Linked DNA regions of Stegostoma tigrinum. The protein of the gene in region 4 purifies or fractionates together with the protein of the main gene of each other region. This does not show direct contact. Links are inferred from orthologs where the notes say so. Each region holds a gene or a part of one and is shown on either strand. Other genes may lie near its edges. The genes, in order: eif3k, eif3g, eif3d and eif3ba.

Region 1 (8,018 bases), on a different chromosome or scaffold from region 4:
CTAAATACTTATTAAATTCAAATTCCATTATCTGCCATTCTGGGATTCGAAACGGTCTGGAGACCCAGGTATCTGGGTGTCTGGATTAAAAGTCCAGCGATAATACCACTAGGTCATCGCCTTCCCATGAATATATTAGTCCCCTTGCAATTCAATTCATCCTTGTTATACAGGTCACTTCTATCCCAGAAGAGATCCCAAAGTTCCAAAAATGTGAATCCTTCTTCCCTGCACCAGGTCTCCAGCCATGCATGCATCTGCTCTATCCGGCTATTCCTACCCTCCCTATCTTGTGGCACCGGGAGTGATCCAGTTATTACTAACCTCAAGGACCTTCTTTTTAAATTCCTGCCCAACTTCCTGTATTCACTCGTCAGTCTCATCCATTTCTCTTCCTATGTCACTAATTCCAATGTATACAGTGACCTGTTGGTGGTCCCTCTCCTCTTTGAGAACATTCTGCAATCCACAGTATCCTTGATCTGGTACCAGGGAGGCAACACAGCAATCTGATATTTCTGCTGTCGATGGCAGGATACCTGTCTTTGCCTCTGAATCTGACGTACCCCTCGTTACATTACAGACAGTCTCAGTACCAGAAACCAGGCTGTCAGCACTACATTCCCCTGAGAGTCCCTCATCTCATACATTTCCAAAATAGAGAAGTCTGGATTTCAACATTTCGCTCACTATTAAAGAGAAAGCAGTTGTTTAAACTACATGAAAAGTCAGAAGGAATTTGTATTTGTTCTCCAGGTGCAAAACAGAACTTTGGTTGTAACCTGTTAAGGAATAGTTCTTTCAAAATTACTATGTTCCAGAAATTTTCATTTTTACAAATAATCTTTACATACACTTAAAGGTTCTTACCTTCCTGCTCCTTCAAAAAGGATGCTGGAGGTCACTCACTAGTCTTCACAAGTATCTTAAGCATATACATGGTATATAATAGCCAAATGTTCAACAGTTTTTAAAAAACAAATCAAAAATTGGTAGCCCTGGCTCTTATGATCTCTGCAACCTCCTTTAATATTACCACATTTCCTATACATTCCACAGGAAAGCAAAATCCAGGCTTCTTTTCACTATTGTGTAAACCAAAGAATTATCTCAAATGCCTCAATAACAGCAACAACCCTTCAAGGTTTGCTATGATAACTGTATTTGTAGAAGTCACAACTGAACTGAAATATTAAAATATCTGCTTGCTAAAACATAATGTACAGAAGGACCTTGGTTTCAAGTCTATAACTCACTGAAAGTGGCCACGCAAGTACATAGGCTGGTAAAGAAGACAAATGGTATGCTTGCCATTGTTGGTCACAGAATTGAGTAAAATAGTCAGGATGCCATGTTGCAGCTTCATAAGTCTTTAGTCAGGCCACACAGAGTATTGTGTTCAATTCTGATTGCCACATTACGGAAAGGAAGTGGAGGCTTTGGAGAGACTGCCGAAGAGATTTACCAGGATGCTGAGATAGTAGGAACTGCCAATGCTGGAGAATCTGAGATAACAAGGTGTAGAGATGGATGAACACAGCAGGCCAAGCAGCATCAGAGGAGCAGGAAAGCTGACGTTTCAGGTCTAGACCCGAAACGTCAGCTTACCAGGATGCTGCCTAGATTAGATTGTATGAGCTATAAGGAAAGGCTAGAAAAACTCGATTTATTTTCTCTGGAGCAGCAGAGGCTGAGGGAAGACCTGACAGAAGTCTATAAAATTATGAGATGCATAGATAGGGTTGATGGTCAAAATCTTATTCCTGGAGTTGAAATGTCTAAAACTAGAGGGCATGCATTTAAGGTGAGAGGGGGAAGTTCAAAGGAGATATGAGGGGCAAGTGTTTTTTTTAACGCAGAGAGTGGTAGGAGTTTGGAACGCACTTCCAGGTGTGGTGTGGGGCAAATATGATAGGGGTGTTTAAGGACTTTTAGAAAGCACATGAATATGCAAGGAATGGAGGGATATGGATCAAGGGCAGGCAGAATGGATTAGTCTAATTTGGCATCATGTTTGGTACAACATTGTGGGCAGAAGGGCCCATCCCTGTGCTGTACTGTTGTATGAATCAAAGGTTATCAGACAGAAATAGCAACACAAAATGATCAGCCAGGGCCTTGTTGGGTGAAGTAGCCATGATCTTACTGGATAGCAAAAATGTCTTTAGGGGCTGGAAGACCAATCTGGTCTTAATTAGTATGTTCCAGTGTACTTCCATTAAAAAAAGTCACCGTACAGTACTGGGGGAGTACTACCCTGTCAGGGATGCTGTGTCTTTCAGGTGAAATACTGGAGCAAGGTACCCATTTGTCAGACGTAACAAGATGTAGAGATGGATGAACACAGCAGGCCGAGCAGGAAAGCTTAAGTATTGGGCTTAGACCATTTTGTCAGCTTTCCTGCTCCTCTGATCTGCTTGTCCTGCTGTGTTCATCCAGCTCTACACCTTGTTGTCTCAGATTCTCCAGCATCTGCAGTTCCTACTATCTCTGAAACAATATTAACCCCACTGGTCAGGGCTATTTCAAAACGGGGGGGGGGGAGTTAGAAAAGAATTGTTCCTGGTGTTCCGACACACCCCACATATAGTCAACATTTCCCATCCATGGCTAATTGTGGGATCTTGCTCTGCAGTGACAACCTTTCCCACATTAAGGAAGCGACTGCTCTTCAGGACATATCGCATTGGGTTTCAGCCACTTGGGTCTGTCCTGACGACGTGTCAGGCGCTACACAGATGCAGATATTTGTTGCTACGGGGTGCTAGATAAAGGTTGCTATGGGCCCGTTGTCGTCGTCCCCCCCCCGCGCAGGGCTCTGCCCTTCTCACCGGTCGATGCCTTTCAGCAGCTTGCCCACATTGGCTCTCATCTGCTCGATGACGCTCATGACTGCAACTCCTGGTTTCACACTCGGTGTTTCTCTCGGGCCTAGAACAAGCGGCAAGGCCTCGACACACGCGTCTCTACCGGCCCGGTGAGGTCAAAGGGGAAAGCGGCCACCGAGCATGCGCAGGACCGCCGGACCCGCGCATGTGCAATGGGCCCTACGGGCGGTAGCATGTGGTGCATGCGCATTCGCTAAAACTCGATTGGATACGTTTAGTGTCTATTCTTTGACATTCTGCAGTCCGTCTTTCTTGCAGATATGGATGAACCGATTTCTTTTACCAAGCAATTTTTGGATAAATCATGCTTACTCCTGATTATCTGTGCAGTGCAATTATTTTCCAATATTTAAAGTTAATATCCTCCATAATGGCAGTTTTTGTCTCCCCACACAGAACATAAGACGTAGGAGCACAATTAGGCCAATTGGTCGGTGCATCAAGTCTGCTCCGCCATTCGATCATGGCTGATATGATTCTTAACCCCATTCTCCTGCCCTTTCCCTATAACATGGACTGCAGCAGTTGTAAAAGGCAGTTCATCACCACCTTCTCAAGGATATATAGAGATTGGCAATAAATGCTGACTCAACCAGCGATACCCACACCCCACAAGAAAATTAAAAAAACAATAAAATTTGGAGGGACAGGTAGTGGAGAGGTTGCAGAAGGACTTGCGCAGGCAAGGAGATTGGGTGAAGAGTTCCTAGGTGGAATATATTCATTCTACAAAGTTACATAGCCTGTCCTGTGGAAATAGTTTCTCTCTGCCTAGCTTTCTTGAAAAATTTAATGAAACATCTCTTAATCTTCTAAAATCCATGAATAACAATGTTAGTTGGTGTAATTTGTCCTTTCAATTTAACCACTGATTTGATTTATTATTTATAAAGGTACAGTGAAAAGTATTGTTTTGTGTGCTATTCAGGCAAATCATACTTTACATCAGTACATCAAGATAATAGAACAGAATGCAGAATATAGTGTCACAGCTACAGAACTACAATTGGAAATCCCTTCAAGGCCAATATAACTTCTCTAAAGACTCAACGAATCTTTGCATAGCTGAATTTCAAAGTGAAAATAGCAGGACTTCACCCTTTGTATTCCTTTTGCTCTAGCATTCCATAACCTGTTCTGTTTATATTTTGTACCTGTTTATGACATTTTAATGAACTATTTAACTACACCCTTAAGTCTCTTTGTATCCCCACTGTTTCAAGCTTTGTACTATTTAAGGAGCAGCTACAGTGATATAAGGGACCTGGATTTGAAACCCACTATGGCAGAACTAAAAAGCTAGTGATGACCATGAAGTCATGGTCTGTTGAAAAAAATCTGGTTCATTAATGCCATAATTACCTGGTCTGGCCTTATGTGACTCCAGATCTAATACAATATGGTTGGGTCAGGACAGCACGGTGGCTCAGTGCCACCCTGACCCAACATAGCCTCACAGTATCAGGGATCCAGGTTCAATTCCAGCCTTGGGCAACTGTCTGTGTGGAGTTTGTATACTCACCCTGTGTCTGCATGGGTTTCCTCTGGGTGCTCCGGTTTCCTCCGAAGCCCAAAGATGTGCAGGGTAGGTGGATTGGTTGTGTGAAATTGCCTAAAGTGCCCAGGGATTTTTAGGTTAGGTGAGTTGCACATGGGAAATTAGGGGAATGAGTGTGGGTGGAATGCTCTTCAGAGGGGTAGTGTGGACTTGTTGGGCCAAAAGGCCTGTTTCCACACTGTAGAGATTCTATGACTCTTTATCACCACCACCTGCAAGTTCCCCTCCAAGCCACTCACCATCCTGACTTTGGAACATATAGCCATTCCTTCAGTGTTGCTGGGTCAAAATCCTGGAACTCCCCAATATGCAGTGTCAACACCCAATTCAATTGCATGTACGGGACAGTACATAGTACCATATACATTTTTTGCTAAAATATACCTAAAACTAAAATCATTATTTGAAAATCGCTCTCTGTATCTGAAAATTTCAGCATCCTAAAACAACAGAACAATTAATACAGAGATATTAGGAACTGCCGATGCTGGCGAATCTGAGATAACACGATGTGAAGCTGGATGAACACAGCAAGCCAAGCAGCATCAGGGGACTAGGAAAGTTTGATATTTTGAGACAAGACCCTTCTTCAGAAATGGGGGAGGGGAAGGGGATTCTGAAATAAATAGGGAGTCAGGGGGAGGCGAATAGAAGATGGATAAAGGAGAAGATAGGTTGAGAGGAGAAAGACAGGTCAAAGAGGTGGGGTTAGAGCCAGTGAAGGTGAATGTAGGTGGGGAGTTAGGGAGGGGATAGGTCAGTCCAGGGAGGACAGACAGGTCAAGGAGGTGGGATGAGGTTAATGGGTAGGAGATGGGGGTGGGGCTTGAGGTGGAAGGCATGGTTAGGGAGGCAGGGACTAGTTGGGCTGGCTTTGGGATGTGATCAGGGGAGGGGAGATTTTGAAGCTTGTGAAGTCCACATTGATACCCTTGGGATGCAGGGTCCCCAGGCGAGATATGAGATGCTGTTCCTGCATCTTTTGGGTGGCATCATTGTGGTAATGCAGGAGGCCCAGGATGGACATGTCGTCCAAGGAGTTGAGGGGGTGAGTTGAAATGGTTCATGACTGGGAGCTGTAGTTGTTCGTTGTGAACTGAAACAAACAACTACACCTTCCAGTTGTGAACCATTTCAATGAATGAAATGGTTTGAATGAACAGCATCTCATATTTCGGTTGGGAATCCTGCAGCCCAAAGGTGTCAATGTGGACTTCACAAGCTTCAAAACCAGCCCAACTAGTCCCTGCCTCTCTAAACATTGCTCCCACCTCAAGCCCCACCCCCATCTCCTACCCACTAATCTCATCCCAGCTCCTTGACATGTCCGTCCTCCCTGGACTGACCTACCCCCTCCCTAACTCCCCACCTACATTCACCTTCACTGGCTGTAACCCCACCTCTTTGACCTGTCTGTCTCCTCTCATCCTATCTTCTCCTTTACCCATCTTCTATTCGCCTCCCCCTGACTCCCTATTTATTTCAGAATCCCCTTCCCCTCCCCCATTTCTGAAGAAGTTTCTCGACCCGAAACGTCAATCTTTCCTGCTCTGCTGATGCTGCTTGGCCTGCTGTGTTCATCCAGCTTCACACAGAATAATTAATAGCATTGTGGGTGCATCAAAACTAAATGTACTACAGTGATTCAAGAAGGCAGCCATCTTTTCCAGAGCAACTACAGATAGCAATAAGTGCTAGTCCAACCCACAATGCACACATGCCATGAAATAAATAAAAGAACATTTACAGAATATTTCAATCTACACGTTTTAGATCCAAAGTGGTTTGGGTCTCACACTTGTTTATATTGAGATAATAAGATGTAGAGCTGGATGAACACAGCAGGGCAAGGAGCATCTTAGGAGCAAGAAAGCTGACGTTTCGGGCCTAGACCCTGCCTGAAACGTTAGCTTTCCTGCTCCTAAGATGATGCTTGGCCTGCTGTGTTCATCCAGCTCTACACCTTGTTATCTCGGATTGTCCAGCATCTGCAGTTCCTATTATCTCAGAGGAGTTTATATTGAGATCTATCTTCACTTAGCTCATTTTGTGAAGTCTATTATATATTTGTAATTTTATGCTTCTAGCTGCAATGCTTGCAAAAGCAGAAATGGGCTGTGCAGCCTCTAAAATTTTCTTTTGCAATCAGTACGATCATTTCTGATCTTCTACCAAAACTTCCAATTTCCTACCCTCTTTCTGTAACCTCTACTTGCCCAGGTCTTCCCCCTTTTAAAATATGGGCATATGTATCAGCTGCCTCTACACTTTCCAGTGCTTCCTTAATAATGATTGTCAATGACTCACGACCTGATCCTTGGAATGTCACTGTAAGAACCTAACTTCGGTTACTGACTGCATTCCAACATTTTTAGTAATTGCTGGAAAAGAACATTGTGGAATGAACTGTCTTTTTCTGTGCTGATTTACTCTATTCTTTTAGCATCTTGGAAACATCAGATACAGATAGTGATTATAAACAATGATTTTAGTTTTAATTTTAAATAAATTCATATGTAAATAGTACAATGTACAGTCCCTCACATACAATTGAATGGGGGAGCGGCTCGACATGTTGAGCATGCGCAGTCAACTGAGGAGTTGGAAGGTACATGGCGGCCAACCATTAAGACTGTAATCATTCTCAGACTCTGCTATCTAACTCTCTGTCACATTTTCCCGTTTTCATGAGCTGTATACTGGCCGGACTGATTTCCCTTTTGTTTTGTTCAAGCTTTGAGCGATTGATTGAGCTGCAGATGTGAAGTGAATGTCCATTGGCTGAAACCTGTATAAATTAGCATGATATGTCTTCGTAACTTTGGTCAGAAAATCAAACTGTATATTTCTTTTAACAGATTTTCAGATTTTCCACAATGTGCTTTAAATACACACAAATATAGAATTCAAGTATGACGTACATATTAGAAAGAGTCAGACTATCACACTGACCAAAATAAGTGTCGATAGCCCAGAGTATAAATATTGTCCTTACCGATTACAGCAGCTGTGTTGTATGAAAGGAGAGAAGGTTAGCACTCCCCTTGATAAGGATGGAAGGGGTCCTAGTGGCCTTACAACACACAAATGGTTAAGGCATTGCCATCTACTTAGTGGCATCTAACCATGTTTTTCTTCATAGAAAAGCAATCATGTTTGACTGGTTTTGCAAGTGTTGTCGAACCAAGTTGCTTCTTTTTACTTTGACGAAGAGGTAGTCAATGACACCAAGCTGGACTAAATCTCCTTAGAATGTATCTCTTCCTGTTCCCTGCAGCCTTCTTAATTTGACTGACATCCTCTCATCAATACAGTTCAGCCTTGGTGACTCTGTCGTGTTTACTACTTTCATGCTCCTGATTCCTATACTAGGTATGTTTTTTAAATTTAAAAAAAAATCTAACATTTACTCATTCCGGTCCTCTTCCCCACCCCCACCCCGCCCAAACCAAATATTGCTCATTTCAAGACATTGTTGTTTTGGTAAAGTCTTAGACTGATGGGGTCCTCTTCTAAACTGCAAAACATTACTTGCATTTGTGATTCAGCGGTAGAATTCTTTCCTGCCATGC
Region 2 (7,829 bases), on a different chromosome or scaffold from region 4:
AATTACAGATACAGGAGGGTACGGTAATTACAGATACAGGGGGGTACGGTAATTACAGATACAGGGGGGTACGGTAATCACAGATACAGTGGGGTACGGTAATTACAGATACAGGGGGGTACGGTAATCACAGATACAGGGGGGTACGGTAATTACAGATACAGTGGGGTACGGTAATTACAGATACAGGGGGGTACGGTAATCACAGATACAGGGGGGTACGGTAATTACAGATACAGTGGGGTACGGTAATTACAGATACAGAGGGGTACGGTAATTACAGATACAGTGGGGTACGGTAATTACAGATACAGAGGGGTACGGTAATCACAGATACAGGGGGTACGGTAATTACAGATACAGGGGGGTACGGTAATTACAGATACAGTGGGGTACGGTAATTACAGATACAGGGGGGTACGGTAATTACAGATACAGAGGGGTACGGTAATTACAGATACAGAGGGTACGGTAATTACAGATACAGGGGGGTACGGTAATCACAGATACAGGGGGTACGGTAATTACAGATACAGGGGGTACGGTAATTACAGATACAGTGGGGGACGGTAATTACAGATACAGGGGGGGACGGTAATTGCAGATACAGGAGGGTACGGTAATTACAGATACAGAGGGTACGGTAATTACAGATACAGGGGGGGACGGTAATTGCAGATACAGGGGGGTACGGTAATTACAGATACAGAGGGTACGGTAATTACAGATACAGGGGGGTACGGTAATCACAGATACAGGGGGTACGGTAATTACAGATACAGGGGGTACGGTAATTACAGATACAGTGGGGGACGGTAATTACAGATACAGTGGGGGACGGTAATTGCAGATACAGGAGGGTACGGTAATTACAGATACAGGAGGGTACGGTAATTACAGATACAGGGGGGGACGGTAATTGCAGATACAGGAGGGTACGGTAATTACAGATACAGTGGGGGACGGTAATTACAGATACAGTGGGGGACGGTAATTGCAGATACAGGAGGGTACGGTAATTACAGATACAGGGGGGGACGGTAATTGCAGATACAGGAGGGTACGGTAATTACAGATACAGTGGGGGACGGTAATTACAGATACAGTGGGGGACGGTAATTGCAGATACAGGAGGGTACGGTAATTACAGATACAGGGGGGGACGGTAATTGCAGATACAGGAGGGTACGGTAATTACAGATACAGGGGGGTACGGTAATTACAGATACAGGGGGGTACGGTAATTACAGATACAGTGGGGTACGGTAATCACAGATACAGCACATTCTCCAAACCAGCAGTCTTAAGGAATCTGCTGAAACCACCCACTCCCGCCATTCTCCGTCCTGAGTTGAAGCTGCAGGAGGGGAACGCGAATGCTGTGGGGTTTTACACCGCAGCGTGGGAATGTGGAATTGATGTTCGAGAGTGATGACAATATGCTGGACAGGCAACACAATGAGCAGAAATAAAATGTCCTCAAGGTAACGCCAGGTCAGGCCACTGTGCAGCATGAACAAGTTGAACATAAAGACGTTTTTGCTGCACTAACGTGGTTTTCTTTGAGATTTTCTTTTCCACCCACACGTCTCCAGGAAAAGCTGGGTACGGGGGAGAGAGCCAACTATCTCATCGTGTGCGTACATGGAACAAGCTGCAACAGGATGTGACAGAGGTGGATACAAATAGTACATTTAAAAGGCATTTGGACAGGTACATGGAAAGGGAGCCAAATGCATGCAAACAGGACTAGGACAGTTTTGGAAACCAAGTCGGCATGGACAGGTTGGGATGAAGGGCCTGTTTCTGTGCTGCTATGACTCCCCTAAACATGATTCTGTGGGCAAATGCCTTACGATTGGCCTTGCTGTTTTACTGTCAAAGAAAAATACTTTAGACGCTGCAAACTTGAAATAAAAACAGAACGTTTAAATCTGGTGGTCTCTCTGGTAAGGGAAATGCAGTAAATACGTTGATTCGAGTATAATCATTTTTGAGGAAGGATTCCGAACCGTGGTCAAAACACACTTTCCAGTTTGCATCACTGCCGAAGATATAATCTGTGATTTAAGGAATGCATAGTTTCTAATCGTTACTCAACATCAATAATAAAAGCTGTTTTCAGTTTGAAATATCCGATCAATGCAGCAGATAGCGTGACCATTACATGCTCCACTGAGAAAGGCTGCAGGAACTTGCCATGTTTACTGTCATACTGATAACAACAAGACATTTCTGTTTCTTTTTAATTCTCTCTGCTCTTTGCAAGGATGCTTGCAAACCCTTATCCTTCTTGAATGCCCCAGGATCATTTAAACATGTTAAAAGATCCACAATAAATGCAACATGTTGGAAATTTTAAGAGTTTTCTTAAACAGTTCTGTGATCGGGCTTCACTTTTTGGCCTTGCAGCATCGGGAACAGAAACAGGAACAGGCCACTCATCCCGCAAGTCTGTTCTGCCATTCAGTCAGATGGTACCTGCTCTTTACCGATCATTGGTCCAGATTTACAATTACACAATATTCTATCAATCCCAGACTGAAATCTCCAACTGAAACCAGATCTCCATCTGAGTTCCAGATGTTCCCTATTCTTTGTGTGAACAGGGATGTGTTTCCTGGTTTCACTCCTAATCAAGCATATCTTCCTCAATCCAGGATCTCACAGAAATTCTCAAAATACAAGCAAAAGAACGTGGCTGCTGGAAATCTGCTTAGAACCGTAAGAAACCACGGGAAGTTGTGGGTACAGCTCACACCATCACACAAGCCAACCTCCCATTCATGAACTCCATTGACACTTCTTGTTGCCATGGAAAGGCTGTGAACGTTGTCAAAGACCCCTCCCGCCCCAGTGATAATCTCTTCTCAACCTCCTCTGTCAGGCAGAAGATAATAGCAGCTTAAACATATGTACCAACAGGTTCAAGAACTGCTTCTTCCCTGCGGTTATCAGACTGCTGAATGAACCTCTCCCATTTCAAATAATGTTAGTCTTGCTTTGCGCACCTTCTGAGCAGTATACGCTGTATGTCTCACTCTGTCTGAGCACCCTGCCATCTGTATGCATCAAAGGAGCAGCAAGGTTGACTTTTTAGGTGTGGGGCCTTCTTCAGAAGAAAGTTTTCTGAAGAAGGGTCCCGACCGGAAATGTCTTCTTTCCTGCTCCTCTGATGCTGCCTGGCTCGCAGTGTTCATCCATTTCTATACCTTGTTATCTCAGGCTCCAACATCAGCAGTTCTCACTATCTCTGTGATCTATATGTCCTTGTTTGCTATGACCTACCTGTACTGCTCGCAAAACAAAGCTTTTCACTGTACTCAGGCACATGTGACAATAAACCAAATCAAATGAAAAAGATTCTGGGTAATTCAACATGGAGGATGGGGAAAATTTGTGGCTGTAGGAGCTGCTCCTTTTGAGGTATTTTCAGTGGTGAAGATGGTTTCCTTGATTTTTTGGAGAAGTAATTACTGTCTTTTGAGCAGTCACGTTGTTTTGAAACTTTGGAAGAAAAAGTCAAAACAACAGCACTTTAAAAAGGAGGAAGGCAGACAAAGTAGAGACCACATGGGGAAGTGAAAAGAAATCAGCAGTGAACCTGCACAGCTGACTGTGTCTTTTGTTTAGTAACAAGTGTGTCTGGATAACTGAGTTCCTGAGAATAATGAAGGAACAGTGAAAGTGATGGAGACTGGTACAATTACAACATTTAAAAGGCATCTGGCTCATTATATGAATAGGAAGGGTTTGAAAGGTTGTAGGCCAAATGCTGGCAAATGGGACTAGATTAATTTAGGATATCTTGTCAGTATGGTTGAGTTGGACAAAATTAATGAGGCAGCACGTCGCTCAGTGGTCAGCACCGCAGCTTCACAGCACCAGGGACCCGGGTTCAATTCCAGCCTCGGGTGACTGTGTGGAGTTTGCACGTTCTCCCCATGTCTGCATAGGTTTCCTCCGGGTGCTCCGGTTTCCTCCCACAGTCCAAAGATGTGCAGTTTAGGTCGATTGGCTGTGCTAAATTGCCCGTAGTGTTCAGGGATGGGTCCGGGGGCGTGGGTGGATAATATTCTGAGGGTTGGTGTGGACGTGAGGGAGGCAGAGAAGGCTGGGCTGGTTTTGGGAGCCCAGCTCTTCCCCTCCACCCACTGCATCCCAAAACCAGCCCAGCCTGTCTCTGCCTCCCTAACCTCTTCTTCCTCTCACCTATCCCTTCCTCCCACCCCAAGCCACACCTCCATTTCCTACCTCCTTGACCTGTCCGTCTTCCCTGGACTGATCTATCCCCTCCCTCCCTCCCCACCTATACTCTCCTCTCCACCTATCTTCTCCTCTATCCATCTTCGGTCCGCCTCCCCCCTCTCTCCCTATTTATTCCAGTTCCCTCACCCCATCCCCCTCTCTGATGAAGGGTCTAGGCCCGAAACGTCAGCTTTTGTGCTCCTGAGATGCTGCTTGGCCTGCTGTGTTCATCCAGCCTCACATTTTATTATCTTGGATTCTCCAGCGTCTGCAGTTCCCATTATCCCTGCATCTTGTTATCTCTCATATGCCGACGGGCGCTGTTTTGTATGGTTATTCAGTCCGTCCAGCCTGCAGGTGGCGCTGTATTGGGAGGTCACTGTGTCCGCCCAGCCTGAGGGTGGCACTGTGCAGGGAGGTGTCAGTGTCTGCTCAGCCTCCGGGTGGCGCTGGTTTGGGAGGTCGCAGCCTCTGCCCAGCCTTTTGATGGCGCAGTTTTGGGAGGTCACTGCACCTGCCCAGCCTCCGGGTGGCGCTGTGTTGGGCGGTTACTGTAGCTGCCCAGCCGCCGGGTGGCGATGTTTTGGGAGGCCACCGTATCCGCCCAGCCTGCGGCCTATCTCCGGCTCTCTGGATGCGCCCGGTTCCGGTTCACTATGGATTTCGAGTGAGTGCGGGGCTTGGGCTCGGAAACCCTAGGAGAGGGTGTGAGTTACTCGCGGAGCCGCCAGTCTCTCCGTCGCTAACCGGAACGTGTTTTGTTTCTCTCTGCCCCGCAGCTCGAAGCCCAGCTGGGCCGACCAGGTGGAGGAGGAGGGAGACGAGGGTAAGGAACAGGCCTCAGGCCGGGCCCCACACGTGGGCCGGGTCCCAGCTACCGCCGCCGGGGCAGCTCCCGCTGAAAATAATCGGGATCCTGGGTCACGAGCATTACCGCCCGTCCCTTCCGGAGATTGGGGGGGGGGCGGTAGTGTGCAGCGGGAACGGGGCGTGTGTGGGGAGAGTTGGGGGTTGGGGGCGTGGGGGGGAGAGTGGGGGCGGAGGGGGAGTATGTTGGGGGGGAGAGTCGGGGGGGAGGGGGAGTATGTGGGGGGGGAGAGTCGGGGGTGGAACGGAGTATGTGGGGGGGGAGTCGGGGGGAGGGGGAGTATGTTGGGGGGGAGAGTCGGGGGGGAGGGGGAGTATGTGGGGGGGGAGAGTCGGGGGTGGAACGGAGTATGTGGGGGGGGAGAGTGGGGGCGGAGGGGGAGTATGTTGGGGGGGAGAGTCGGGGGGGAGGGGGAGTATGTGGGGGGGGAGAGTCGGGGGTGGAACGGAGTATGTGGGGGGGGAGTCGGGGGGAGGGGGAGTATGTTGGGGGGGAGAGTCGGGGGGGAGGGGGAGTATGTTGGGGGGGAGAGTCGGGGGGGAGGGGGAGTATGTTGGGGGGGAGAGTCGGGGGGGAGGGGGAGTATGTTGGGGGGGAGAGTCGGGGGGGAGGGGGAGTATGTTGGGGGGGAGAGTCGGGGGGGAGGGGGAGTATGTTGGGGGGGAGAGTCGGGGGGGAGGGGGAGTATGTGGGGGGGGGAGGGGGAGTATGTGGGGGGGAGAGTCGGGGAGGAGGGGGAGTATGTGGGGGGGAGAGTCGGGGAGGAGGGGGAGTATGTGGGGGGGAGAGTCGGGGAGGAGGGGGAGTATGTGGGGGGGAGAGTCGGGGAGGAGGGGGAGTATGTGGGGGGAGAGTCGGGGAGGAGGGGGAGTATGTGGGGGGAGAGTCGGGGAGGAGGGGGAGTATGTGGGGGGGGAGTCGGGGGGGAGGGGGAGTATGTGGGGGGGAGACGGAGTATGTGGGGGGGGAGTCGGGGGGAGGGGGAGTATGTGGGGGGGAGACGGAGTATGTGGGGGGGAGTCGGGGGGGAGGGGGAGTATGTGGGGGGGGAGAGTAGGGGGGAGGGGGAGTATGTGGGGGGGGACGGAGTATGTGGGGGGGAGTCGGGGGGGAGGGGGAGTATGTGGGGGGGAGAGTCGGGGGGGAGGGGGAGAGTCGGGGGGGGGAGAGTCGGGGGGAGGGGGAGTATGTGGGGGGGGGAGTATGTGGGGGGGGGAGTCGGGGGGGAGGGGGAGTATGTGGGGGGGGAGAGTCGGGGGGAGGGGGAGAGTCGGGGGGGAGGGGGAGTATGTGGGGGGGGAGAGTCGGGGGGGAGGGGGAGTATGTGGGGGGGGAGAGTCGGGGGGAGGGGGAGTATGTGGGGGGGGAGAGTCGGGGGGGAGGGGGAGTATGTGGGGGGGAGAGTCGGGGGGAGGGGGAGTATGTGGGGGGGGAGAGTCGGGGGGGAGTATGTGGGGGGGGAGAGTCGGGGGGGAGGGGGAGTATGTGGGGGGGGAGAGTCGGGCGGGAGGGGGAGTATGTGGGGGGGGGGAGTCGGGGGGGGAGGGGGAGTATGTGGGGGGGGAGTCGGGGGGGAGGGGGAGTATGTGGGGGGGGGAGTCGGGGGGAGGGGGAGTATGTGGGGGGGGAGTCGGGGGGGAGGGGGAGTATGTGGGGGGGGGGAGTCGGGGTGAGGGGGAGTATGTGGGGGGGGGGAGTCGGGGTGAGGGGGAGTATGTGGGGGGGGGAGTCGGGGTGAGGGGGAGTATGTGGGGGGGGGAGTCGGGGTGAGGGGGAGTATGTGGGGGGGGGAGTCGGGGTGAGGGGGAGTATGTGGGGGGGGAGTCGGGGTGAGGGGGAGTATGTGGGGGGGGGAGTCGGGGGGGAGGGGGAGTATGTGGGGGGGGAGAGTCGGGGGGGAGGGAGAGTCGGGGGGAGGGGGAGTATGTGGGGGGGGGAGGGGGAGTATGTGGGGGGGGAGAGTCGGGGGGGAGGGAGAGTCGGGGGGAGGGGGAGTATGTGGGGGGGGGAGGGGGAGTATGTGGGGGGGGGAGAGTCGGGGGGGGAGGGGGAGTATGTGGGGGGGGGAGAGTCGGGGGGGAGGGGGAGTATGTGGGGGGGGAGAGTCGGGGGGAGGGGGAGTATGTGGGGGGGGGAGGGGGAGTATGTGGGGGGGGGGAGAGTCGGGGGGGAGGGGGAGTATGTGGGGGGGGGGAGAGTCGGGGGGGAGGGGGAGTATGTGGGGGGGGGAGAGTCGGGGGGAGGGGGAGTATGTGGGGGGGGAGAGTCGGGGACGGAACGGAGAATGTGAGGGGGGGACGGAGTATGTGGGGGGGGAGTCGGGGGGAGAGATGTGGGGGAGGGGGGAGTATGTTGGGGGGAGGGGGAGTATGTTGGGGGGGAGAGTGGGGGGAGAGGAGTAGTATGTTGGGGTGGAGAGTGGGGGGAGAGGAGTAGTATGTTGGGGGGGAGAGTCGGGGCAGGAGGGTGAGTATGTGGGGGGGAGAGTCGGGGGGGAGGGGGAGTATGTGGGGGGGGAGAGTCGGGGGGGAGGGGGAGTATGTGGGAGGGGAGAGTCGGGGGCGGAACGGAGAATGTGGGGGGGAGTCGGGGGGAGGGGGAGTATGTGGGGGGAGGACGGAGTATGTGGGGGGGAGTATGTGAGGGGGGACGGAGTATGTCGGGGGGAGAGATGTGGGGGAGGGGGAGTATGTTGGGGGGAGGGGGAGTATGT
Region 3 (7,731 bases), on a different chromosome or scaffold from region 4:
TGGATTATCCTGGATCACAGGGGTCAGGAATCGTGCCATCTTCTACAACCAGCTGCAAAGAGACACCCAAACACCATATAAATGGCAGGAGGGAGAGAGCCGGGGGGAGCCGCAGCCATTCACAAAAGCAGCTCACTACCACCTGAAAGGGTTACATAGAAAATCTCATCACCTCCACATTGGGGCGAAAGCAGCTTGGTGTTCGATGACTATTCTCCAACACTCAGCCCTGACCTCGTATGGCAGGGCATTTCAAGCGCAAAACACTTTTTGAATGTTGTGATGCTTCCTGCCTTTGCCACCTTCTCAGGCAGTGAGGTCCAAATCTCCAGCACCCTCTCGGTCAAAACATTTTTTCTTAAATCGCCTCTAAACATCTGGCTCCTTCCTCCAAAACTGTGACATTTTGATTACTCACGCTATCAACGCCCTTTATAATCTTGTATATCTGTCAGATTTCACTCCCCACTCCCTCAGCCTTCTGTGCTCTCACGAAAACAGCCCAAACCTATCCAGTTTCTCTGCTTCACTGAATCCCTCCAGCCCAGGCAACATCCTGGTGAATCTCCTCTGCACCCCATCCAGGGCAATCACATCCTTCCAGCTATATGGGGACCAGACCGACACACAGTGCTCCAGCTGCGGCCTAACTCATATCTTACACAGCTCTCTCACACAATCGTATCCTTCCTCTACACTGGTGATCATAATTGCACGCAGTCCTCCAGCTGCGGCCTAACTCATATCTTACACAGCTCCATCATAACTACCAATGTCTTGACTAACAAAAGCAAAAATCCCAATATTTAACCACCTCAAACACGTGTTGCCTTCAAGGTTCTGTGGACACACACACCAGGGCACTTCTGACCCTCTGCACCTGCTAGGGTCTCACCATTTTTTGTATCATCCCTGGCCTTGTTAGTCTTCCCAAAAGGTATCACCTCACACTTTTCAGGATTAAATTCCACTCGCCCATAATTCAGCCCATATGACCAGCCTGTCAATACAATTCTGTACTGTAATGTTTACCTCTTCGCTATTTACTATGCCACCAATTTTTGTGTCATTTGCAAACCTACCAATTAAACCTCCTACATTCACGTCTAGATCATTAATACGCTGTAAAAACAGTAAAGGATCCAGCACCAAGCCTTGCATTCACCACTGGATACAAGCTCCTAGTCACAAAAATAACTCGTCAACTATTATACCCCGCCTTCTGCTGCTGCTAAGTCAATTCTGGATCCAAATTGTCAAACTGCCCTGGATCCCATGGGCTCTTGCTTTATTGACCAGTCTACCATGTGAAGCCCTGGCAAAACCATTACCAAAATCTATGCAGACTACATCCACTGCACAACCCTCATACACACATCCAGTCACCTCCACAAATCACTGAATCAAATCTATCAGGCATGATCTCCCCCTAAATAATGTCATGTTTCATTAATCTTTGACTCTCCAAGTAGAGATTAATTATGTCCCTCAGAATTTCTTTTCAAGAGTTTCCCTACCACTTGTGTCAGAGTCAAGGTGGCCTATTGATGTCCAATTTACCCAGACCACCTTTCTTGAATAACGGGGGTGGGGGGGGGCCTGTGCCCGGATCCCCGGGGGGGGGGGCTGTGCCCGGATCCCCGGGGGGGGGGGGCTGTGCCCGGATCCCCGGGGGGGGGGGCTGTGCCCGGATCCCCGGGGGGGGGGGGGGGGGCTGTGCCCGGATCCCCGGGGGGGGGGGGGGGGGGGCTGTGCCCGGATCCCCGGGGGGGGGGGGGGGGGCTGTGCCCGGATCCCCGGGGGGGGGGGGGGGGGGCTGTGCCCGGATCCCCGGGGGGGGGGGGCTGTGCCCGGATCCCCGGGGGGGGGGGGGGGGGCTGTGCCCGGATCCCCGGGGGGGGGGGGGGGCTGTGCCCGGATCCCCGGGGGGGGGGGGGCTGTGCCCGGATCCCCGGGGGGGGGGGGCTATGCCCGGATCCCCGGGGGGGGGGGCTGTGCCCGGATCCCCGGGGGGGGGGGCTGTGCCCGGATCCCCGGGGGGGGGGGCTGTGCCCGGATCCCCGGGGGGGGGGGCTGTGCCCGGATCCCCGGGGGGGGGGCTGTGCCCGGATCCCCGGGGGGGGGGGCTGTGCCCGGATCCCCGGGGGGGGGGGGGCTGTGCCCGGATCCCCGGGGGGGGGGGGGGGCTGTGCCCGGATCCTGTGCTCCTGTCCCTCTCCGGGCACCAACCTGCGCCGACACCGCTCAGGCGGCTACATCAATGCAACTGGCCAGTGCCCGGCGGAACGACAACTCAATGCCCGCCTCAGGCGCTAGACAAACGCAGGGCGAGGGCCAGGCCCGAGGCCTCAGGCCCGATCCCCGGTATTGGTTCGGGGCCCGACGCCCGCGGACAATCCCCCCCCCGGCGCCCCCCGCGGGCCCGAGCCGCCGCCTCTTACCTGGTTCCCGCCGCCGCCGCCGGATCCGCGAAGCTTCACAGACACCAACAACCGGCCGCCGCGCTGTCGTAAAGCGCCGTAAACCGGGGCCGTTACCCGGCAGCGAAACGCCGTAAAACGTCCAAACCCGCGGGGGCGCCACACGGCCGCAAACTGCCGTAAAGCAGGAACACAGCAACGGAATTTGCTGGAAAAGCTCAGCAGCGTCTGTGAAGGGAAAGAAAAACCCGAGTTAAAACGTTTTCGGGTCCGGCGGCCCTTCCTCAGTGTCTACAAACTGCCGTAGTCCGGCACGGGAAGGAGGTCGTAAGGTGCCGTAAAACGGAGCCGCCACGTTGCGGCAGATGGGTGCGACAGCGCTGCCGTAAAGTCGGTCGCAAGACAGTGCCCCGTAACTGTCACGTTTTCCGCTCAGACTCGGGGAACATTCTCCAGCGGATCCTGGGGGGCGATGATTCGTTTAAAAGAGGCGGCGACTTTCTGCCACACCACCGTAAAGGAGGTTCGGGTCCACACCACGACAATGTCGTGAATGTGCTGTCGGATTAAATCGTTTTAAATAGCAGACCTGAAGACGGCCCCAAGGCCGGAGCCGTGTTTCTCTCGGCGCTTTGGTTTAGATAAATCCCAACGGGCACCAGCTTTGATGGAAATCGGGAATTGGGCGCCGCGGGTTGAAATCCGCTTTACGGCAGTGTTCCGCGGGCCGCTTCCACACGGAGCTGGCGAGCGGCGCCAAGATGGTCCGCACCGTGACTGAACGCCGCTCCCCCCACCCACCCCACACAGCGCCACCCAGGTGGGCGGGAGAGGAATGGCGGCACAGCCACTGCCCCAGGGACAGTACTAGAACCAGTGGAGAGAATGTGAGCGTGTGTGGGGACCGCTTTGCAGAACACCTCCGCTCAGTTCGCAACAAACTACTGCACCTCCCAGTCGCAAACCATTTCCACTCCCCCTCCCATTCTCTTGATGACATGTCCATCATGGGCCTCCTGCAGTGCCACAATGATGCCACCCGAAGGTTGCAGGAACAGCAACTCATATTCCGCCTGGGAACCCTGCAGCCCAATGGTATCAATGTGGACTTCACCAGTTTCAAAATCTCCCCTTCCCCTACTGCATCCCTAAACCAGCCCAGTTCATCCCCTCCCCCCACTGCACCACACAACCAGCCCAGCGCTTCCCCCCCACCCACTGCATCCCAAAACCAGTCCAACCTGTCTCTGCCTCCCTAACCGGTTCTTCCTCTCACCCATCCCTTCCTCCCACCCCAAGCCGCACCTCCATCTACCTACTAACCTCATCCCACCTCCTTGACCTGTCCGTCTTCCCTGGACTGACCTATCCACTCTCTACCTCCCCACCTATACTCTCCTCTCCACCTATCTTCTTTTCTCTCCATCTTCGGTCCGCCTCCCCCTCTCTCCCTATTTATTCCAGTTCCCTCTCCCCATCCCCCTCTCTGATGAAGGGTCTAGGCCCGAAACGTCAGCTTTTGTGCTCCTGAGTTGCTGCTGGACCTGCTGTGTTCATCCAGCCTCACATTTCATTATCTGAGAGAATGTGAACCACTGCCAGAGAGGACAAGGATAGAAACAGGGAGACGAGTGAGCTCAGAGGTTTATTAAAGTAATGAGGGGCTTGGTAAGGTGAATAACAGACCTTTTCGCCCCCGAATGGAGGGTAATCCGAAACTAGGTTCATCGGCGAGAAGGGAAAGATTTAGAAGGGACTTAAGGGGCAATTGTTTTACGCAGAGGGTGTTGTGCCTGGAATGAGCTGCCAAAGGACAGGTACAGTGGTGGTGGGCACAGGTACAGTTACAACATTTAGAAGGCATTTGAATAAGTTCATGAATAGGAAAGTTTTAGAGGGATATGGGCCAAGCACAGGCAGGCGGAATTCACTTAGGAACATGGTTAGCATGGACTGGTTATGTCATAGAGTCATCGAGCGGGGAAACTGAACCTATGATGGAGAGGGACTGAGCGCGAGATGCAAAGAGTTGCAGTAAAAGAGACTGAGGAAGAGCACGTCATCTCAAAATAGGTTATGCCCTGCAAAAATCCAGTGAGCACAAACAGCACCTTCCAAACCCACGACCACTTTCATCTAGAAGGACAAGGGCAGCAAGATACATGTGAACACCACCTCCTGCAAGTTCCTCTTCAATCCACTCACCTTCATGATTTGGAAATGTATCGCCGTCCTTCACTGGTGCTGGGTCACAATCCTGGAATTCCCTCCCTAAGGGCATCGTGGGTCAACCTACAGCACAGGGACTGCAGCGATCCAAGAAGGCAACTCACCCCCACCTTCTCAAGGAACAACTAGGGACGGGCAATAAATGCTGGGCCCAGCCAGCGACATCCCATCAGTGAAGAATACAAGGAAACAAGAAAATTGTAAACAGTAAATTCCCACCAGCAGCAATGTGATAATAACCACTTATTATAATAATAACTGTGATGATAATAATAACTCCTTTGTAGAGCATCTACACTCTATTTGCAAAAAGTGACAACACCTTCCGGCTGCAAACCATTTTAACTATCCCCCCACCACCGGACGACACGTCCATCCTGCCTCCTCCAGTGTCACACAACACCACCCGGAAACTGGAGGAGCAGCACCTCATCTTCTGCCTTGGGAGCCTACGTACCAATGGTCTCAATGTGGATTTTACCAGTTTCAAAATCTTCCCACCCACCCCTGGCCTTATCCCGTGTCCAACTCTCCCTCTCATCCTCCCCCCTCCTTGACCTGACACAACCTGTCCATCTCCTGTCCCACCTAACCACCCCCAACCTGCACTCACCTATCACCATCCCAACTACTTCCCCCAGCCCCACCCCTCCTCTCTATTTATCTCCCAGCTCCCTTCCCACCTCTCCCCTCCCCCACCCTTTCTGAAACGTCAGCTTCCCTGCTCCTCTGATGCTGCCTGGCCTGCTGTGTTCATCCAGCCCCACACTATCTTCTCTCAATCAGGTCACTCCATGTAATGTTCTAGTGAAAAGGCCAAGCATTTTTCTTCAGTTTCCTGCAGCTCTCAAGAAGCTGTCAGCCCCACTATGTCATCCTGAACCTTTCTCTTTTTCTCTTCTCGAGGTCAAAAGTTGAAGCTTAAAATTGCCGTCATTATTTCTAATTCCCAGAGTAATTCCTTCACTGATTTTAATTGGTATCACACATAACAGAGACAAAGTTTGAGGGAAATCTTTCTAAAGAGTGATGTTACAAAATAGAAATCTGAAAATGTATAAAATATTTTTATTTAACATTTCTCTTTCAAAACATTATCTTTGTACAATATGTAGAAGCATGATCTTCATATTTTATTGTAAGATATAATAAAATAGAATCTAAATTAGCGTAGGTGCAGTTCACCGCATTTTGTAAACGTTCCTCCAGCTTTCTCAGTGGTGGGTAAGTTTGTTTGAGCTACTTTCTTTTTGTGACTGGCTCGAAGTGATGAAGATGACCTCGATTTCAGTTGAAAAGCAGGAAAGATTCAGCTTTATTGAGTAATGATTCCCCAAATTGGGAGAATTTATGATCGTACAGCCCTGACATCAGGTCTGTTTTAAAATACTTGCAGTGACTTTTCTCAGAAATACTGGTGCACGCCGTCTGGAAGCAGGGACCTGTGGGTGCTCGCTGTGTCTGGGAGCCGGGCCCTGTGGGTGCACGCTCTGTCTGGGAGCCGGGTCCTGTGGGTGCACGCTCTGTCTGGGAGCCGGGTCCTGTGGGTGCACGCTCTGTCTGGGAGCCGGGTCCTGTGGGTGCTCGCTGTGTCTGGGAGCCGGGCCCTGTGGGTGCACGCTCTGTCTGGGAGCCGGGTCCTGTGGGTGCACGCTCTGTCTGGGAGCCGGGTCCTGTGGGTGCACGCTCTGTCTGGGAGCCGGGTCCTGTGGGTGCACGCCGTCTGGAAGCAGGGACCTGTGGGTGCTCGCTGTGTCTGGGAGCCGGGCCCTGTGGGTGCACGCTCTGTCTGGGAGCCGGGTCCTGTGGGTGCACGCTCTGTCTGGGAGCCGGGTCCTGTGGGTGCACGCTCTGTCTGGGAGCCGGGCCCTGTGGGTGCACGCTCTGTCTGGGAGCCGGGTCCTGTGGGTGCTCGCTCTGGGAGCGGGGTCCTGTGGGTCCATGCTCTGTCTGTGAGTGGGGTCCTGTGGGTGCTCGCTCTGGCTGGGAGTGGGGCCCTGTGGGTGCTCGCTCTGTCTGGTAGCGGGGCCCTGTGGGTGCTCACTCTGGCTGGGAGTGGGGCCCTGTGGGTGCTCGCTCTGCCTGGGAGCAGGGTCCTGTGGGTTATCACGCCGTCTGGGAGCGGGGTCCTGTGGGTGCTCGCTCTGCCTGAGAGCAGGGTCCTGTGGGTGCTTGCTCTGTCTGGGAGCGGGGTCCTGTGGGTGCTCGCTCTGTCCGGGAACGGGGTCCTGTGGGTGCTCGCTCTTTCTGGGAACGGGGTCATGTGGGCGCTCGCTCTGTCTGGGAGCCGGGTCATGTGGCTGCTCGCTCTGTCTGGAGGCGGGGACCTGTGGGTGCTCGCTCTGTCTGGGAGCTGGGTCCTGTGGGTGCTCGCTGTGTCTGGTAGTGGGGCCGTGTGGGTGCTCGCTCTGTCTGTGAGCGTGGCCCTGTGGGTGCTCGCTGTGTCTGGGAGCGGGGCCCTGTGGGTGCTCGCTGTGTCTGGGAGCGGGGCCCTGTGGGTGCTCGCTGTGTCTGGGAACGGGGTCATGTGGGTGCTCGCTCTGTCTGGGAGCCGGGTCCTGTGGGTGCTCGCTCTGGGAGCGGGGCCCTGTGGGTGCTCACGCTGTCTGCGAGCGGGGCCCTGTGGATGCTCGCTGTGTCTGGGAGTGGGGCCCTGTGGGTTATCGCGCCGTCTGGGAGCGCGGTCCTGTGGGAGCTCCCTCTGTCCGGGTGCGGTATCCTGTGGGTGCTCGCTCTGTCCGGCAGCGGGGTCCTGTGGGTGCTCGCTCTGTCCGGGAGCGGAGTCCTGTGAGTGCTTGCTCTGTCAGGGAGCGGGGTCCTGTGGGTGTTCGCTCTGTCTGGGAGCGGGGTCCTGTGGGTGCTCCCTCTGTCTGGGAGCGGGGTCCTGTGGGTGCTCGCTCTGGGAGCGGGGTCCTGTGGGTGTTCGCTCTGTCTGGGAGCGGGGTCCTGTGGGTGCTCGCTCTGTCTGGGAGCGGGGTCCTGTGGGTGCTTGCTCTGTCTGGGAGCGGGGTCCTGTGGGTGCTCGCTCTGCCTGGGAACGGGGTCCTGTGGGTGCTCGCTCTGTCTGGGAGCGGGGTCCTGT
Region 4 (7,434 bases):
ACCTTGTTATCCCAGATTCTAAAGCATCGGCAGTTCCCACTATCTCTGAATAAAATATAACTGGTGCCCTCACATGAAAATTTTATTTCGCATAACAAAATAGGAGTGCAGGAAATTGAAAATAAAGGACATACATTTGCATATATTTTGATGACTACTTCACAACCAATGAAATACTTTGGACGAGTAGTCATAATCTAACTTCAGAACACAGCAGCTAACTTGCCTACAGCAAACTTCCACATAGATCAATACAATAGACACCAGACAGAAAATCTGTATTTTTTTGGCATGCTCATTGATGGATAAATATTGATCAGGACATTAGAAAGCACAGTCCAACACTTTTTCAGAGAAGTGCTATGGGAACTTCTGGATTTACCCATGCAGACTCATAGGAAGTTCATTTAATGTCTCTTCCACAAGATGGCACCAATGACAATTAGCACTTTGAGTACTGCACAGGAGTGTCATTTCTGTTTTTGTGCTCCAGCCACAGCGTATAACTTAAACACGGAATCTTGGGCTTAAAATGTCAGATTAAACTAAGCCAAGACTGGCACAATCATGTGCAATGAAAAAAAAATCAATCTGAAACATTAATTCAGCTTCTCTTTAAACAGAGCTGTTGTCAGATCCGTTTAGTGATCCAACAATTGTTCTCATTTTCACTTCTCCACTGTCCTACAGTATGTGCATCTGCTATCTGGAGAATACCACAAGTAAATATTCAACTACAGTTAATGTTTCTGGTCAGACCATTTAACCAGAGGATGTAAAAGATTTGGATTTCTAGAAGGTGTTGGATAAGCGACGTATGTCAGACTACTTTTTTTATTATTCATTCATGGGATGTGGGCAATGCTGGCGGGGCCAGGATTTATTGCCCACCATGAAAAAGTAATAGTGCACTGCCCTATTGAAGCAATGCAGTCCATTTGGACACACAATGTAGTTAGGAAGAGAGTTCTGAGCACGTGCGGCATTGGAAGTAGTATATTAGCACAGATACAAGCTTGTCTACACAATAGACGACTTGGGACAAGGAGGCACGTTTAGGATGGCAATCCACAACCAGTGGTGTGCCACAGGGATCAGTGCTCAGGCCACATTTATTTAGAAGATATATCAATTATTTAGACAATGCAAGTGAGTATACTATCACCAAGTTTGCAATGACACAAGAAAACTGGTGGGAAGGCAAGTGGTGAGGTTGGCAGTCTGCAAAGACATGTAGCAAGTGGGCAAATATTTGACAATTTAAATATAACGTGGCAAAATGTAAGGTTATGCACTTGGCCAAGGCAGAACAGCTAAATATTGTTTACATGGAGAAAGACAGCAGAAAGCTGCAGCACAGAGGTATCTGGTAGTCTGTGAGGGCATCCGAATGGTTTCTAAAACACTAACATATGAAAGTTCAGCAGGAAATAGGAAAACCTTGCTAAAACTACAGAATCCTTACAGAATACTGCAATCAGTTTTGATATCCCCATCTCATGAAAAGTATAACTGACACCGGAGGCAAAATAGGAGTGGTCAATTAGGTTGATCCTGGATACAGAGGAATTGTCTTATGTGGTAAGGTCGAGTAGATTGGGCCTGTACTCACAGGAGTCCAAATGAATGAAAGGTGACTTTTACTTAGATTCTTCCAGGAAGGTGTGGAGATGTTGCTTCCCCTTGTGTTAAGAGTCTAGGATCAAAGAGAATAATTTTACAGTAAAGGGTCACCCAGTTAGGTGAGAGTTGGAGCAGAGTTGCCTCTCTCTAAGGATAGTGAATTTGTGGAATTCTTTACCATAGAGGGCTGCAGAAGCTGGGTTGTGCTAGGTATATTCAAGACTGAGATCAACAAATTTTCAATCAATCAGTAAAGGAATAAAGGGTTTATGGGGAAAAGGCAGGAAAGGGGATTTGAGGGTTATTAGACCAGCTACAATCTCACTGAATGGAACCACAGACTCAATGTGCCAATTGAGCTAATTTTGCACCTTTATGTCAAAATCTTATTAATTGATTTTATATAAAGTGCCTGTAGTACATGAAATGTGAATATTTGCTATTGTTGGAGGATCAGATTAACTACAGATTTAAAATATTTTGATTACAGATTTTTCTAATCAGCTAGCAATCAGTTTATAACCATGCTAAAATTACATTTGTAATGTTTACAGAATGATTTGGTTCTGGTGTGAACATGTTTTTCCTTTTATCTCATGGAAGACATTGCATATTCATCTAATTTATAAGGATCCCATATTGCATTGCACCCTTCTCAATATAGGTTACACAAGAGTACAAGACATTTAAAGTGATATTGAATTGAAGAACTGTGCAGTTGCAGTTACATCCACCACTCTGTAGTTCATACAATGTTAACACCGGATACTGCACCTTATTTAACTGTAATTTGCGTCACTACGACATACACTTCTAATGGTACAGATCAAACGGAGGCTAGTGATTTCTAATTAAGTTATTTTAAACAAAGTGTGTGAAAATACTTTCAAGTGAAAAAGCGGATTCCCTAGTTTAAATGAAGAACTGCAGTTGTCGCTTAATGATTCACCTCCCTTCACTGTACAGGCTATCTTTCTGGAAAAAAAATATTTTGTCACAACACTAGACACTACTGAATTTATGATCATTAATAATGTGTGTCATTCCCAAGTCAGTGTGTTCCAGCTCTATCAGCCAGGACCCAGTCAACCTGCCTGCTCATCCGGGTCCAGGCCCAGCCTAGGCCTCAGGCTCCAGTCACTCCCAAACGCACATGGGCTGGGGATATGAACCGGTTCCCCTCCATGTGTGCGAATACCGAAAGCTACCCCACTCATTGTCTTTACCCTCATCGGAGATGTCATCCTCGAAGCCTTCAGGGTCGCTGAAGCCTTCCTCGGGCTCCTCCAGCTCTGCCAACTCATCGTCAGCCTCCCGAGCCTCACCATCCCCACTCGTCTCCTTCATCCTGCTTTCGCTGGGCGGCCGGAAAAGAAAGAGCGAGCGCGGAAGTGCGCGGCCGGGCCTCTCTGGGGGAAGGGGGGGTGCAAGGCATGCGCGGTCCCGCCGGTTCGCCTGTTCCAAAGCAATCAGAGGGGCGAAAGCGCTGACATATAGATAGGATTTGGAGGAAATTACCGGTTGTTAAACGGAGGTAGTTTACATACGTATATTTTTGAAAATCTATTACTATAATTCGCTGATTTTGTGTGAGAATCACCGCTACTGTTGAGGATTTGTTGTGGAACATTCCTAATGCTCCCCCCTGACTGTGAATGGTGATCCAGTCCAGGTCGTCTGCTGGAGGGCATGGCGATGGCTTCGTTTGGTTTGTGCTCGTATCCGCGCTCTCTACCTTTGGGTTGATTGTTCACGCAAGGTGTCTGTTTACATTAAAACCTCAGGTCATTTTAAGGCGATTGTTGTAGTGGAGCCAGAGTCCGCTTTTCCCAGTTTTGATTGTAGGACAGTGTCCAGTTTAATCTTCCCTCACCTTGTAGTTTATTTCACTGACATGGATGCCTCTAGAATGGGCGGCTCACAAATGGCCCATTAGACCTAACTGGTTGGTACAAGTGCTGCACGCCAGCTTCCTCCATTCACTGTTTTACCCTCTCGGTGTTTTTGTTTTATCTCATTTACTTAACCTTTCAATACCTATGCCATTCTCTTTAACCACTTATTCTATCCGCCCTCAGGGAAAGGAAGTTTCTTCTGAGTTCTCTACTAGATTTATTACTGACTGTTTTATAGTTAGGATGCCAGGCCGAAAACATACCTAAACTTGCTTATTAAAACATTATTGACGTGAAATGTTAATTCTATTTTTCTCCCCACAGATGCTGCCTGACCTTGAGTGTTTCTGGCATTTTGCCTTCCCCTTTCCTTAACTTCTTTAATGTCAAAGGAAAGGAATTAAGGGATAAGGACCAAGGGCAGGCAGAAGGGATTAGTTTACCTTGGCGTCATGGTCGGCACAGCATTGCGGGCTGAAGGGCCGTTCCTGTGCTGTACTATTCTATGTTCTATGAAAGGTGCGAGTGAATTCTTCTAGAAAGACAGACGTCAGCAATCAAAGTAATAGGATCAGATTGAAAGTATCATTTGTAATGAGTATTTTCAGTTCGTGTTTGGTATTTTACAAAATACTTCCACTCATGTCGTATGGTCTTAAAATAAAAAATGCATATCTATTAGAATCTGACTTACCGAAGTTCTTCTGCAACAAAATGTAACAATTGTACGCTTGGAACAAAGATATTCTCAAACCACAGTAGTGTTACAGTTACCTTATTTTGTCCATGCGCCTGGGCTAAATTTAGTGTTAAGGTGATCCTCGGGCTACATCTGGCCTATCACAAGACACATTGTTCCTACTCTAAAATATTGACAACTTGTATTCCTGTCTTACCTACACCCCTTCTGAAATGTAATTCCCTGGCTTTGCCTCATCGAGAACTGACCTCTCCATCGCCCTTTTTGCTGATTTATTGTCTTTGTTTTTCCTAAGTCTGTCTTAATAAAGAACTCTAGAGTCTACAACCTTTCCTGTGTATCCAACATCTGCCCTTACTAAGCAGAAGTAACTCTGAAGCTAAGAGTATTAATGTTGATCATTTTCAAATTTTAGCAGAGTTCACTAGATATGTTTGCTTCTGATATATTCTTTCCTATCAAGGTATAAATATAAACTACTAAAAACAGAAAAAGCTGGAATTATTCAGCAAGGCTGGCCGCTTTTTTAGCAAATGAAGTGGAGTTGACAGTGTTTCCGATCTATGATTATTCAGAACTGAGTCGTTGACGTGAAATATTAATTCCGTTTCACTCTCCAGTGCCACACAGTTGAGTATTTCAAGCTGTTTTTGTTTTCATTTCAGATTTTCAGTGTGTGCATTACTTTTATTCATAATATTTTATGAATGAATGCAAGTTGTTATAACGAAAAGGAGAAACCAGACTTAAACACATCTGTTCCAAAAAACCATTATTTTGATATTCAGCACAATACACATGAACAATTAATCATAATTACTTTAAAAAATGTTGATAAGTCATACTTCTGAAGATGGGATGAAATATCAAGTTGTATTTGTTGAATTGCTTTGTATGGGAGCATCTTGGAGAATATAAGTATCTTTTGGTAGTGTTAAGATAGTGAGGAACTACTTGCCAATTGTAGCAAATTTAAAACTTTTGGCAATGTTCTTCAGAAGGTATTTTGCATAATATACAAGAGCATGAAGATTTGTATTTTGTTTTTTTTCCCTCCCATCAGAGAATTTATCATATAATTGGAAAATGGAAAGTGAGTGTGTGGAGTTGTTGCCCCGTGTTTTCTCAGTTTTAGGAGATGCCGGGCAAACGGTTGTTGATGATACCTGTTTGGAGAAGCTGCTTGATTGCTTCCGAGGAACAACAGAAAATGGTAACTGGATACTCACTTAATTTGAAGTCATGATTAATACAACCAGTATCAAGTATGAAATGAGTTTTATTTGTATAATTTATTTTTTTTCTACACATTAATGTAATCTAGTACTGGCCTTTGTTACAGTTTGTGATATTAAAGCTATTATATCAATTCTGTTGCAAAAATACTTTGCCACCAATGAGGTTTTTTATCTCCCACATCAACCGTCCCATGAAATTTTCAAATAAGCCTTCAAATTTTGAAGAAATTGTGCCTAGGTTGACATGGTAAGTTAAGGTGAAATAGATTATTTTTCAGAAAAGTTGGTTGACCCATTCATGTCTAAATAACATGTCTATGTGTCTGGATTGAACATTGGCTGCTTTCTTTTAACCATCAAATTTGGATTTCTGTTCATGTGGTCTGCATTACTCAGTTTCATCTGGCATTCCTATCCATTTGCCTGGTTGCCCTAGTTTTTGTTATCCAGGGAATTTAATGCGTTATAATATTGTTGATGTAATTACATTTGTCACCTCCAAATTGCACTATTGTTCTAACTCATTTAAGGTACAGAAACCAAAACATAAGACTATGCCTTGAGTGTGATCCTCAGTCTGTGATTAATCAGAAGTCCACAATGAGAATAGCGCTAAAACTGGCCTCAGAGGGAAGAAGACTGGGTAGAGTTCTGACTACTGATTGTTAACCAATGATTCCTGTTAAAAAGCTCAATTTTGGATATTTGACTGGATACAGAATTGATCTTGGCTAAGCTATCCCACTGATTAAACAGTATGCTGACACAGTGAATATGACCTCACACTGTACCAGTGAGCAATCATTGTCCTTGACCTTTGCAGGAAGACAATACCATCAGGTGAAGGAGAAAATACTGACACCTATGTTAAATAAAGGAACATTATAAACTACAGTGTTAAAATTGAATAGTAAATTTGTGTAAAACTTTATTCACTTTTACTTTTCTGTGTTCCCTTCAGAAACAGAACTCCATATTCTACAGAGAATCCCGTGTCTGACAAACATAATTGTAAATGTATCCAAACAGAAGGATATTCACCCTAACATCCTCTCCTTCATTATGAAGCTGACTGGACTATTTGCTGCATCAGAAAACTATTTTATTCAGTTAGAGGTTAGTAATTAGAAGATAGTTTATTTTCAAGTTTTTGTTTGACGTAAAAAATATTGTTTGTGGTATTCAAGTATAACTGCTCGATTAGAGTTGAAATTAAATTCAAGTTGAAAGTGAAAATTCTGGACATAGACCAGTATATCTATGTCTAACAAAGATGAAAGAGTTCAACACCTAGTATGTACTTCTATTTGGCAAAGGGTGTGCATGTTAAAATTAAATCTTCCTCCCACTTTTTTCATATGCTGTTGCACCCACTATGTATTTCCAGCATTTTCTGGTTTTGTTATTTTCTTCGGGTATCTTGAAATGCCATGCCTATTCATTTTACACAGGATAATTTGTTCAGAGCAATGTAGCCTTGATCTCATCCAAAACTCTGCTTTCTATAACCTAACTTGCGCTGTGTCCTGTTCACAATCACCTCTGTGATCACTGACCAGCATTGGCTTTCAGCTAGACAACATCATTCTTCCTAAAGTTCTCATTCTTAGTTTCAAATTCCAACATAAACCTATACCTCCTTATGTCTGTTACTTCCTGTAAGCATGCAACGCTTTGAGATATCCTTATACCAATGTTGCCAATTCAGATCAGCTATGACTTAACTATCAACTGCCAGGACCTCCAACATTGGCTATACCTCCTTAAATTCTCTACTTTGTTTCTCTCTTTTTAAGTTTATTTTTACAAATGCTTCTTCATGATGAGGACCCAGCAGAGGAGAGTGCAAATGTTGTTCATTCCCCCAGGTTCTGTGCCTGGGCAGCACCAGCACTCTGAAGTGACTGCCTCGTGCCTAGCTCACCATACTCGTGCTCTGCTTTCGAATGGACTTCCAGCACATGAGTTTCTATTGTCT

Evidence for each region.
Region 1: the proteins of eif3ba (region 4) and eif3k purify together in Homo sapiens (affinity purification with mass spectrometry; 7 studies listed by BioGRID and IntAct, with this or other methods). This does not show direct contact. The link is inferred for Stegostoma tigrinum from reciprocal best matches to the Homo sapiens genes EIF3B and EIF3K.
Region 2: the proteins of eif3ba (region 4) and eif3g purify together in Homo sapiens (affinity purification with mass spectrometry; 12 studies listed by BioGRID and IntAct, counting the BioPlex papers as one, with this or other methods). This does not show direct contact. The link is inferred for Stegostoma tigrinum from reciprocal best matches to the Homo sapiens genes EIF3B and EIF3G.
Region 3: the proteins of eif3ba (region 4) and eif3d purify together in Homo sapiens (affinity purification with mass spectrometry; 10 studies listed by BioGRID and IntAct, with this or other methods). This does not show direct contact. The link is inferred for Stegostoma tigrinum from reciprocal best matches to the Homo sapiens genes EIF3B and EIF3D.

The regions. Positions count from the first base shown.
Region 1 is NC_081392.1:16,942,049-16,950,066, reverse strand, and holds the start of eif3k (eukaryotic translation initiation factor 3 subunit K), read right to left. Parts: upstream 3,017-8,018; 5' UTR 2,891-3,016; coding exon 2,832-2,890; intron 1-2,831. UniProt on the Homo sapiens protein: Component of the eukaryotic translation initiation factor 3 (eIF-3) complex, which is required for several steps in the initiation of protein synthesis.
Region 2 is NC_081388.1:22,375,185-22,383,013, reverse strand, and holds the start of eif3g (eukaryotic translation initiation factor 3 subunit G), read left to right. Parts: upstream 1-4,813; 5' UTR 4,814-4,826; coding exon 4,827-4,915; intron 4,916-5,027; coding exon 5,028-5,074; intron 5,075-7,829. UniProt on the Homo sapiens protein: RNA-binding component of the eukaryotic translation initiation factor 3 (eIF-3) complex, which is required for several steps in the initiation of protein synthesis.
Region 3 is NC_081391.1:24,612,957-24,620,687, forward strand, and holds the start of eif3d (eukaryotic translation initiation factor 3 subunit D), read right to left. Parts: upstream 3,006-7,731; 5' UTR 2,442-3,005; intron 53-2,441; 5' UTR 40-52; coding exon 1-39. UniProt on the Homo sapiens protein: mRNA cap-binding component of the eukaryotic translation initiation factor 3 (eIF-3) complex, a complex required for several steps in the initiation of protein synthesis of a specialized repertoire of mRNAs.
Region 4 is NC_081376.1:1,082,765-1,090,198, forward strand, and holds the start of eif3ba (eukaryotic translation initiation factor 3, subunit Ba), read right to left. Parts: upstream 3,005-7,434; 5' UTR 2,971-3,004; coding exon 2,850-2,970; intron 1-2,849. Other genes in the region: brat1 (BRCA1-associated ATM activator 1), read left to right, coding at 5,305-5,431, 6,418-6,572.